Ovis aries: one gene and its partner. Each later gene encodes a partner of the first gene's protein in a complex. Links are inferred from orthologs where the notes say so. Each region holds a gene or a part of one and is shown on either strand. Other genes may lie near its edges.

Region 1 (3,866 bases):
GTATATCAGCATAATAATGGGTAAGGTCTGGAGGCTAGATAGCGCCTACATAGAAAGGTGATGTGGCAGGAGAGGGCCGGACAGCATGCAGAGCCTCTAGATGAACCCCTTGTGTTTTGAAGGTACTAGGGAGCCATGGGGGAGGTTTGAGCAGGAGAGGGACGGAGTCATACCTGGGGGTTAGAAAGTTCCCCCCAGCATCGCCATGGCTGGTGAAGGGGCATGACTGGAGATCCCAGACAAGGGCATTGACACCCCTCAGGGCTCCTGTATCTACTTTTCAGAGGTATAAACAGACTTCCTCCTCATCCTCTCCCTCAGGTTCCTGATGAGTCTGTAAACAACTTTGTTTATTCTATCATTCTGTGCTATTAAACACTTGCTGTGTGTTAAGTATGGGCAGGGCCTCAGAACTCAACCTGATGGGTGAGATGAACAGGTGACAAAGAGATAAACAAATGCAGGTGGTTCAAGTGCTTTGGTGGGAAGCAGGGCCAGGAGCTGGAGAGGGCCCAGGAGGGTCAACTTTATTTGCTTAAAAGAGGTGAGATTCAGCAAGTCCGGCAGAGGAAACAGCCAGTGCAAAGACTTGGTGGCTGGACAGAATTTAGTGTCACAGAGGGGAGCAAGGAGGCCACAGTGGGTGGAGGGAGTTGGGGGGTGGGCATGGGAACCAGGGGAGCATGTGGGCAGGTGAGCTCAGACCCTGCTGGGGTGGGCTGGCTGTCTCAGGTTCCAGAAACCTCTCTCCCCATGGAAGCCCCCAGCAGTTCTTGACAAGTTGTTGACAGTTCACACCACCAGCCTCAGCGCAAGGGCAGGCTCCAGGGCCTTTGGGAGGAGTGTCCCCATTGCCATGGACACAGTGACCATGAGACCATAGTACCGCAAGGGCACCTGGTTTCTACTGGAAGGTGGTGGGAGGGGTTCCAATCACTGGGAGAGGCATGAACTGGCAGTGGTTGCACACCCGGATGGGCTGCTCTGAAAGCGTCTACGAGCACTGGCCATTAGGTTCCAGCCCTGGAAGGGGGCAACTGCATTCTTGGGGGTAGTAGGGGGGATTGGGCCTAATTTTCCAACTGCATTCTCTGCTGTCCTGTTGGTCCCTTCTGAAAAGGGGCATCCACCCTATGATGGATTCACTAGCCACCAGTTCCAGCCCTGGGAGGTTGAGGGGGGCCTGCCACTTGGAGGGGCCCTGGAACAGGTGCGTCACTCACGGGCAGGGTCAGTCCCACAGCAGACTGAGGGCGAGGTCCACTGAGGCTGCTGTGGCCTCCGTCAGGTATTCACAGCAGAGCCAGTCCTCCAGACCGGGTACCTCCCCACCCACGGCCCGCTCAGCCAGGTGCAGGACCAGCATGGTTCGGCGCACCCGCAGCCAGGACCCCAGTGGGGCTCCGTGGCTGCGCAGCTCTGGTCCAGGCCCCCAGAGCAGCGCCTGCAGTGCGCTGCGTGTCCGGGCCGCTGACGGCCACACACGGGTCAGCTGGGCCGCCAGGCGCTCCAGGCCTGTGGCCACGGGTGTGGCCAAGGGCACTCCCGGGCCAAGCAGCTCTCGGAACAGGCGGCCCAGCTGCCGTGCGTGGATGCCAGGGGTGCCGGGAGGCCGCGGGCGAACGTGTCCGAAGTCCGCCAGCAGCAGGCGTGGGGGCCCAGTGGCCATGCAGCCCCGAGGCGCCACCAGCAGTAGGTTCTCCAGCCGAAGCTCGGCCAGGGCCGCGCCCTGTGCCTCCAGGCGCTCTAGGGCGGCGCTCAGCTGCAGCAGTAGCAGGGCCACGGTCTTCGTGAACTCCTCCGGTGGCTGAGCACCTGCCTCCACAAGCCACTGGGCCACAGTGAGCTCTGGCACCTCAGCCACCAGCGCCACGCAGCCACTCCAGGGCGCCTCAGGCAGTGCACCCTCGGGCAACAGGCCACACAGCCCCTGGAGGTTGAAATGTGGGAGCAGAGAGACCTGTAGCTCCAGGCCCCAGGGGTGGGGCTCCTCAGCTCCTGGCTTGGGCACCTGTGGGACAGAGGGGGCCTTCAGAGCCTGACCACTGAGCCCCTCCACCCTGAAAACCAGCATAGCTTGCCTAGAGGCTCTACCTGTTCTGAAACCTTCCCACCCACCACAACTTGCCCCACTATCACTGATCACTCCAGAAGCAAGGTTCTTGTTAATTCAGATATTATTCACCAACATGATTTAAGGAAAACCACCTGGGAGGATGGTGCTATGGGTCCTCCCTGGTAGCTCAGATGGTAAAGAATCTGCCTGCAATGCGGGAGACTCAGGTTTGATACCTGGGTCAGGGAAGATTCCCTGGAGAATGGAATGGCTACCCACTCCAGTATTCTTGTCTGGAGATTCCCATGGACAGAGGAGCCTGGTGGGCTACAGTCCATGGGTTTTCAAAGAGTCAAACACGACTGAGTGACTAACACTAACAGTACACCAGGGAGGAGGTGTTTAAGGGTTAAAGTTTCCAGCCTGCCAAAGGGTGTCCATCATTTGTGCTTGCCACTTGGTAAGGAGGAAGATGACAGCAAAGGTGCTGGAGCACAGACCACAGTGTAATTCAAAATTTCCAGTAGCCATGTTTTAAAAAGTGAAAAGAAACAGGTGAAAGTAACTTTCTTTCTTCTCCCTCTTCTTTTTAATATTCACTAGTTTAATTTTTTAGATTCTACATATAATTGAAAACATACAGGATTTGTCTTTTGTTTCACTAAGTATAATACCCTCTTGTGGTATTGGAGAAGACTCTTGAGAGTCCCTTGGACAGCAAGATCAAACCAGTCAATCCTAAAGGAAATCAATCCTGAATATTCATTGAAAGGATTGATGCTGATGCTGAAGCTCCAATACCTTGGCCAACCTGATTCGAAGAACTGACTCATGAAAAAGACCCTGATGCTGGGAAAGATTAAAGGCAGGAGGAGAAGGAGACGACAGAGGATGAGATGGTTGGATGGCATCACTGACTTGGTGGATATGAGTGTGAGCAAGCTCCAGGAGTTGGTGACGAACAGGGAAGTCTGGCATGATGTAGTTCACGGATGGGGTCACAAAGAGTCAGACACAACTGAGCGACTGAACTGAACTGATAATACCCTCCAGGTTCATCTATGTTGCAAATGGCAAAATTATATTCTTTTTTATGGCAGATTAGTAGTTGTCCATTGTTTTATCTATTCCACATCTTCTGTTGATGGACAGTTAGGTTGCTTCCATGTCTTGGCTATTGTAAACAATGTTGCTGTGAACATTGGGGGCACATATATATTTTCTAATGAGTGTGTTTTTTTCAGGATTAGAGTTGTTGGATTATATGCAGTTCTATTTTTAGTTTTCTGAGGAACTTCTAAACTGTTTTCCACAGTGGCTACATCATTTTACATTCCCACCAGCAGTGTACAGGATTCTCTTTTCTCCACATCCTTGCCAACATTTGTTATCTGTGGTCTTTTTGATGATGGTCATTCTGACAGGTGTGAGGTGATACCTCCTTATGGTGTTGCTTTATATTTCTCTGATTAGTGATGTTGAGCATCTTTTCATTTGCTTGTTGACTGTCTGTATGTTTTCTTTGGAAAAATGTCTCTTCAGGTCTTCTGCCTAATTTTTTAATTAGCTTTTTTTTTTAATTGAGTTGTATGAGCTTGAAAATAACTTTCATAATCTATTTTATTTAATCCAACATACCCAGAATATTCTCATTCAACAGGTCATCAATGAAAAAAATATCAGTGAGATGTTTTTACACGATTGTTATTGATACTAAATCTTTGAGACCTGGTGTATATTTGGCACTCAGAGCACATCTCAGTCAGTACCAGCCCCATTTCAAGTGCTCAGAAGTCGCCCATGGCCAGCA
Region 2 (3,970 bases), on another chromosome or scaffold:
GACCCAGTGCTGCGTGTGTGTATGCCTCCAGGGAAATTATTTAACTTCTCTGTGCCTCAGTTTCCTCAACTAAAACGGGGCTAGCAGTACTTACCTGTCATAGGTTGTTATGAAGACTTAGTTAATACGTGTAGAGTGCTCAGAACAAAGCTTGGCACATATAAACAACAGCTATTATTACTATTACAGCTTGATACCACCTCATCAGTTGATGAATAAACATTGGATGGACTCTCTATGTGCCTATGCATTATAGCACATATGCATGTGTCTTATCTATATATATGTATACTCACAAATATAGTCAAATAACATTTATTAAACATCAGGTAGATTTCACACCCTTATTTTAATTACTGAGTTTGTCACAATAATACATCAAAGACTACTACCGTGTGCACTGACCAATGAGAAAATTGGTCCACAATGCAGTTCCATAATACCATACCAGTTTTTTTTTTTTTTAAAGCAACATGTATACAAAGTAACATTGGGTCTCATCAGAATGCAACCAAGGGGGGAAAAGCCCTTAACAGTGAACTCTGTGATTAAAACACAAAAGCTTATATTTAACAGTTTACAGTTTGTAAAAAGGTCTCTTGACAAACCTGGAGATAGAGAAACCAGGAACCAGAGATTAAGCAGAACACTGAAGATCCCACAACTAGAAAATGCTGCAAGGAAGGGTGGAATCGAATTTACCTGACTCCGAGTCCAGTGCTCCTCCTGCTTCACACCCACAGCCGGGCAAAATACACTTTTTGCAGCGGCCCAAATCTCCGGAGACTCTGCCTCAAGAACTAGCATTATGGGAATGTGCTCAGCCTGGCTCTCTGGAGGCTGCCTCCCCAATCTATAGAGCTCTGATTCTAAAATGGCTCCAACCTAACACAAGCACTGCCTGATGGGAAATGTACAGAAGATTATAGGGTAGGAGCCACACTCCTGGGACTGACAGGCCATAAATATTTGCTACTGATGAAGGAGGATATTCAACTTGGAAACCAGGTGTGTGGTCTAGGCCAAATCATCTCCTTTCTCTGAAGGATTTCATCTGTAAGACAGGTGAAGGGTTTCTTATCTCACTGAAAGGAGGTAACAGAGAAACAGTTCAGCAGTGGCTACTGGATTAGCTTTCCACCATGAAGATCACCTGGAAAATTCTAACTTGGGTCCAGCACAATGCCAGGTTTCATGCTCACCATGTGTGCTAAAAATGAGGGCTCAGGCAACTGACACATTCCTAAACAAGAAATGGAGTGCCCTGGAAGCAGTCAAGAAGGAAATGACCAAGAATCAAGAACACATATTAATACATAAATTTCTAACATGAAAAGGCAAAAAGCAGAGTACCCATGTGTCTAGTTCTGTAAGCTGCGTGTGTGTGTGGTTTCATATGAACAATTGAGATAGACTGAGAAATGCAGACAATTTTTCATATTCTTCCAAGTGCTTCATCTTTCTGTTCTGGCTCCCGTGGCCGCCTGATGTTCTATGTTCATAATAGAATCTTGCCAAATCCTCTCTCCCACACAGGGCAAGTAAAATCAGAACCTGATGCGATCTAGCCTTACTAAAGGGAAAAGCAGTGATGGCAAGGACAAGAGACAAAAATTTTACAGAAAGGTTGGCAACCTGTCTTACCAATACTGCCACCTTTCAAAGCCCCATTACACGCAGAGTTCTCCATTTGCAATAGACAAAGATGCACTCATTCTGTGCAGAAAAGGGTCTTAATTACTCCCACCCCTTCGCCACCACCAGGGAGGCCACCAGGCAAATTTCAGTCCTAAAGTCGCGTTAACACACAGTATGGGGAATTTGGGGCGAGGACACAATGACTCTGGCATTAAATGACGGTAAATGCCGTTGGGAAAATATTCCAATTCTGAGCCTCAGACATTTTATTTTTTTTCCTGGGGATCCGGCCTGACTCAGTAACCAGTTCCAGCAAATGCATTTTCTTGATACAAATCTCAACCCTGTGCCTCCTAGGGAATCTCGGGTCCTGCCAGGCTCCCAAACCAGCGAATGATGATGAAATGGCTTTACTGCAAAGTGGGAGGGGGGTTTTCCCTTTGCTCTCTCCCAAGGTTAAACCTGTTACCCATCCCGGGGGGCGGGGGGTGCGGGTAACGAACAGAGGAATTGGGCCTGAAAGCTCGCCTGCATTTGGTTACATTTTCATTTTTGAAAACCGGAAAGCGAGGAACGAGGGTGACCGAGCTGAAAGGGTACGATCTGGCCGCTCAAGGTGCAGGGAAAGGTCGCGCGGGGATCGAGGCTGGGTCGTGAGGAAGAGTCGGGAGTCCGCGACTCCTCGTCCGTTCCCGCCTGGTATGGGGAGCCGCACCCCGCCCGCCGGGCAGGGCCGCGGGCGGCGAGGGTGGCCCGGGCCTCTCCCAGAACGACGGGCCCGGCCCCGGAAACAGGGAGGGGCCGCGGTGAGGCAGAGCCCGCGCAGCGGGCGGCCTCGCGGGGCCGAGAAGGCCGCGCGCCGCCGCCCCCGAAGCCCACCCGGGAGGTCGCCCTCGCCGCCGCCGCCGCCGCTGCCAGTGATGGGGGAGCCGTGGGCTCGGGCCCCTGGGGGCCTCGGGCGGACCCCGCGCCGCACTCACCGTGGGAGGACTGCAGGGGGCAGAGAACCTTGCGAGCAGAGCTCCGGGCGCAGTGACCGCTTCCTCCCCAATCCCACTCCTCCGGCGGCGGCGGCGGCGGCTGCAGAGGCGGCGGCGGCAGCTACCCCGGCTCCGGAATCGGCGGCTGCGGCGGCTCCACTTCCGCTCCGGTCACCACTTCCGCTCCGGCTCGAGCCCCGCCCCTGCGCCGCCTCTTCATTGGGCGAGCGGGGCACGGGGTCGCCCCGGCCGCCCAAGAGGGGCGCCGCCCGAAAGAGGAGGGAGGAGAGCGGAGGGCAGGGGTGCCGCGGCCGGGGCGGGGCGCGGCGGGGGTCTGGCCCGGGAGCACGGAGGAGGCGGGCTTGGGCGGGGGGGTACGGAAATGGAGGGGGGAGCGGAAGAAGGAGGTGGGCGGAGTGCAGGCGGGGCTGAGAGGGCTCTAGAAAGGGGCTGTGTGGAAACTGGGGGCACTGGGCGAGGCTTGGGGCTTGGCGGGCCTGAGGCTTAGGCTCGGAGCTCGCCGGGGCCAGGCCCAGTGTCCGAGGTCGTTGGTTCCCACCCCTCCCCGAAAGGAGTCGTCACGGGATCGGAGGTGCAAGTCAGCCCCCTATTGCTGCGTGCTCTGGAAATACTAGATTTAGGGAAGGACTGCAATTGCTCATCCATAGAGTTTTCTTTAGTCCTCCCTTCCGTCCTTCAAGGTACGTCATTTTATGGACTGAGGAAACCGGGAATCAGACTGCCGATGATCGCTCAGTGGTGTCCGACTCTTTGCGACCCCACAGGCTATACATACAGCCCATGGAATTCTCCAGGCCAGAATACTGGAGTGGGTAGCCTTTCCCTTCTCCAGGGGATCTTCCTGACCCAGGAATAGGGTCTCCTGTATTGCAGGCAGATTCTTTACCAACTGAGCTATCAGGGATTCCCGAATACTCTCTACTCAAGATCTTAAAGGAAGTTTAACGAAAGGAACCAGGCCTTCTCTGCCTCCTACTCCTCATGACTGCTCTCACCCTTTATCAACATTAAGCACTTCCCAAGGCAGTTCTTCAAAATGCCTCACCTCTACTCCCCCCACCCCACCCCACCCCCATCATTCATTCTTTCAGCAAATACTTATTAAGCAGGCTTTATGTTGGATGTTGGAAACAAAGCAAGAACAAGGCAGAAGGGGCCCTGCTGTGTTGGAGTTTACAGGCTGGTAGGAGACAGAACAAAGTAAATAGTCCTTGTCATTTCTCCTTTAACTTTACTTAGGTTTTGATCAACTTCTAATGCATCGTCCTTCCCTCAGACCTGCTCCCATCAACTGCCAAAGTGATTGTTGAAAAACCCCGTTCTAACTGGTG

What was found.
Region 2: the proteins of PEAK3 (region 1) and YWHAB are in contact, whole or in part, in a cryo-EM structure (PDB 8DP5), measured with the Homo sapiens proteins. The link is inferred for Ovis aries from reciprocal best matches to the Homo sapiens genes PEAK3 and YWHAB. Residues at the interface, in NP_940934.1 of Homo sapiens: Arg66, Thr67, Gln68, Ser69, Leu70, Pro71, Thr72, Arg73; in NP_003395.1 of Homo sapiens: Val48, Lys51, Asn52, Arg58, Lys122, Arg129, Tyr130, Gly171, Leu174, Asn175, Val178, Glu182, Ile219, Leu222, Asn226, Leu229, Trp230.

What each region holds. Positions count from the first base shown.
Region 1 is NC_056058.1:19,073,348-19,077,213, reverse strand, and holds the end of PEAK3 (protein PEAK3), read right to left. Parts: intron 2,012-3,866; coding exon 1,232-2,011; 3' UTR 503-1,231; downstream 1-502.
Region 2 is NC_056066.1:73,240,622-73,244,591, reverse strand, and holds the start of YWHAB (14-3-3 protein beta/alpha), read right to left. Parts: upstream 2,801-3,970; 5' UTR 2,619-2,800; intron 1-2,618. UniProt on the Homo sapiens protein: Adapter protein implicated in the regulation of a large spectrum of both general and specialized signaling pathways. Binds to a large number of partners, usually by recognition of a phosphoserine or phosphothreonine motif.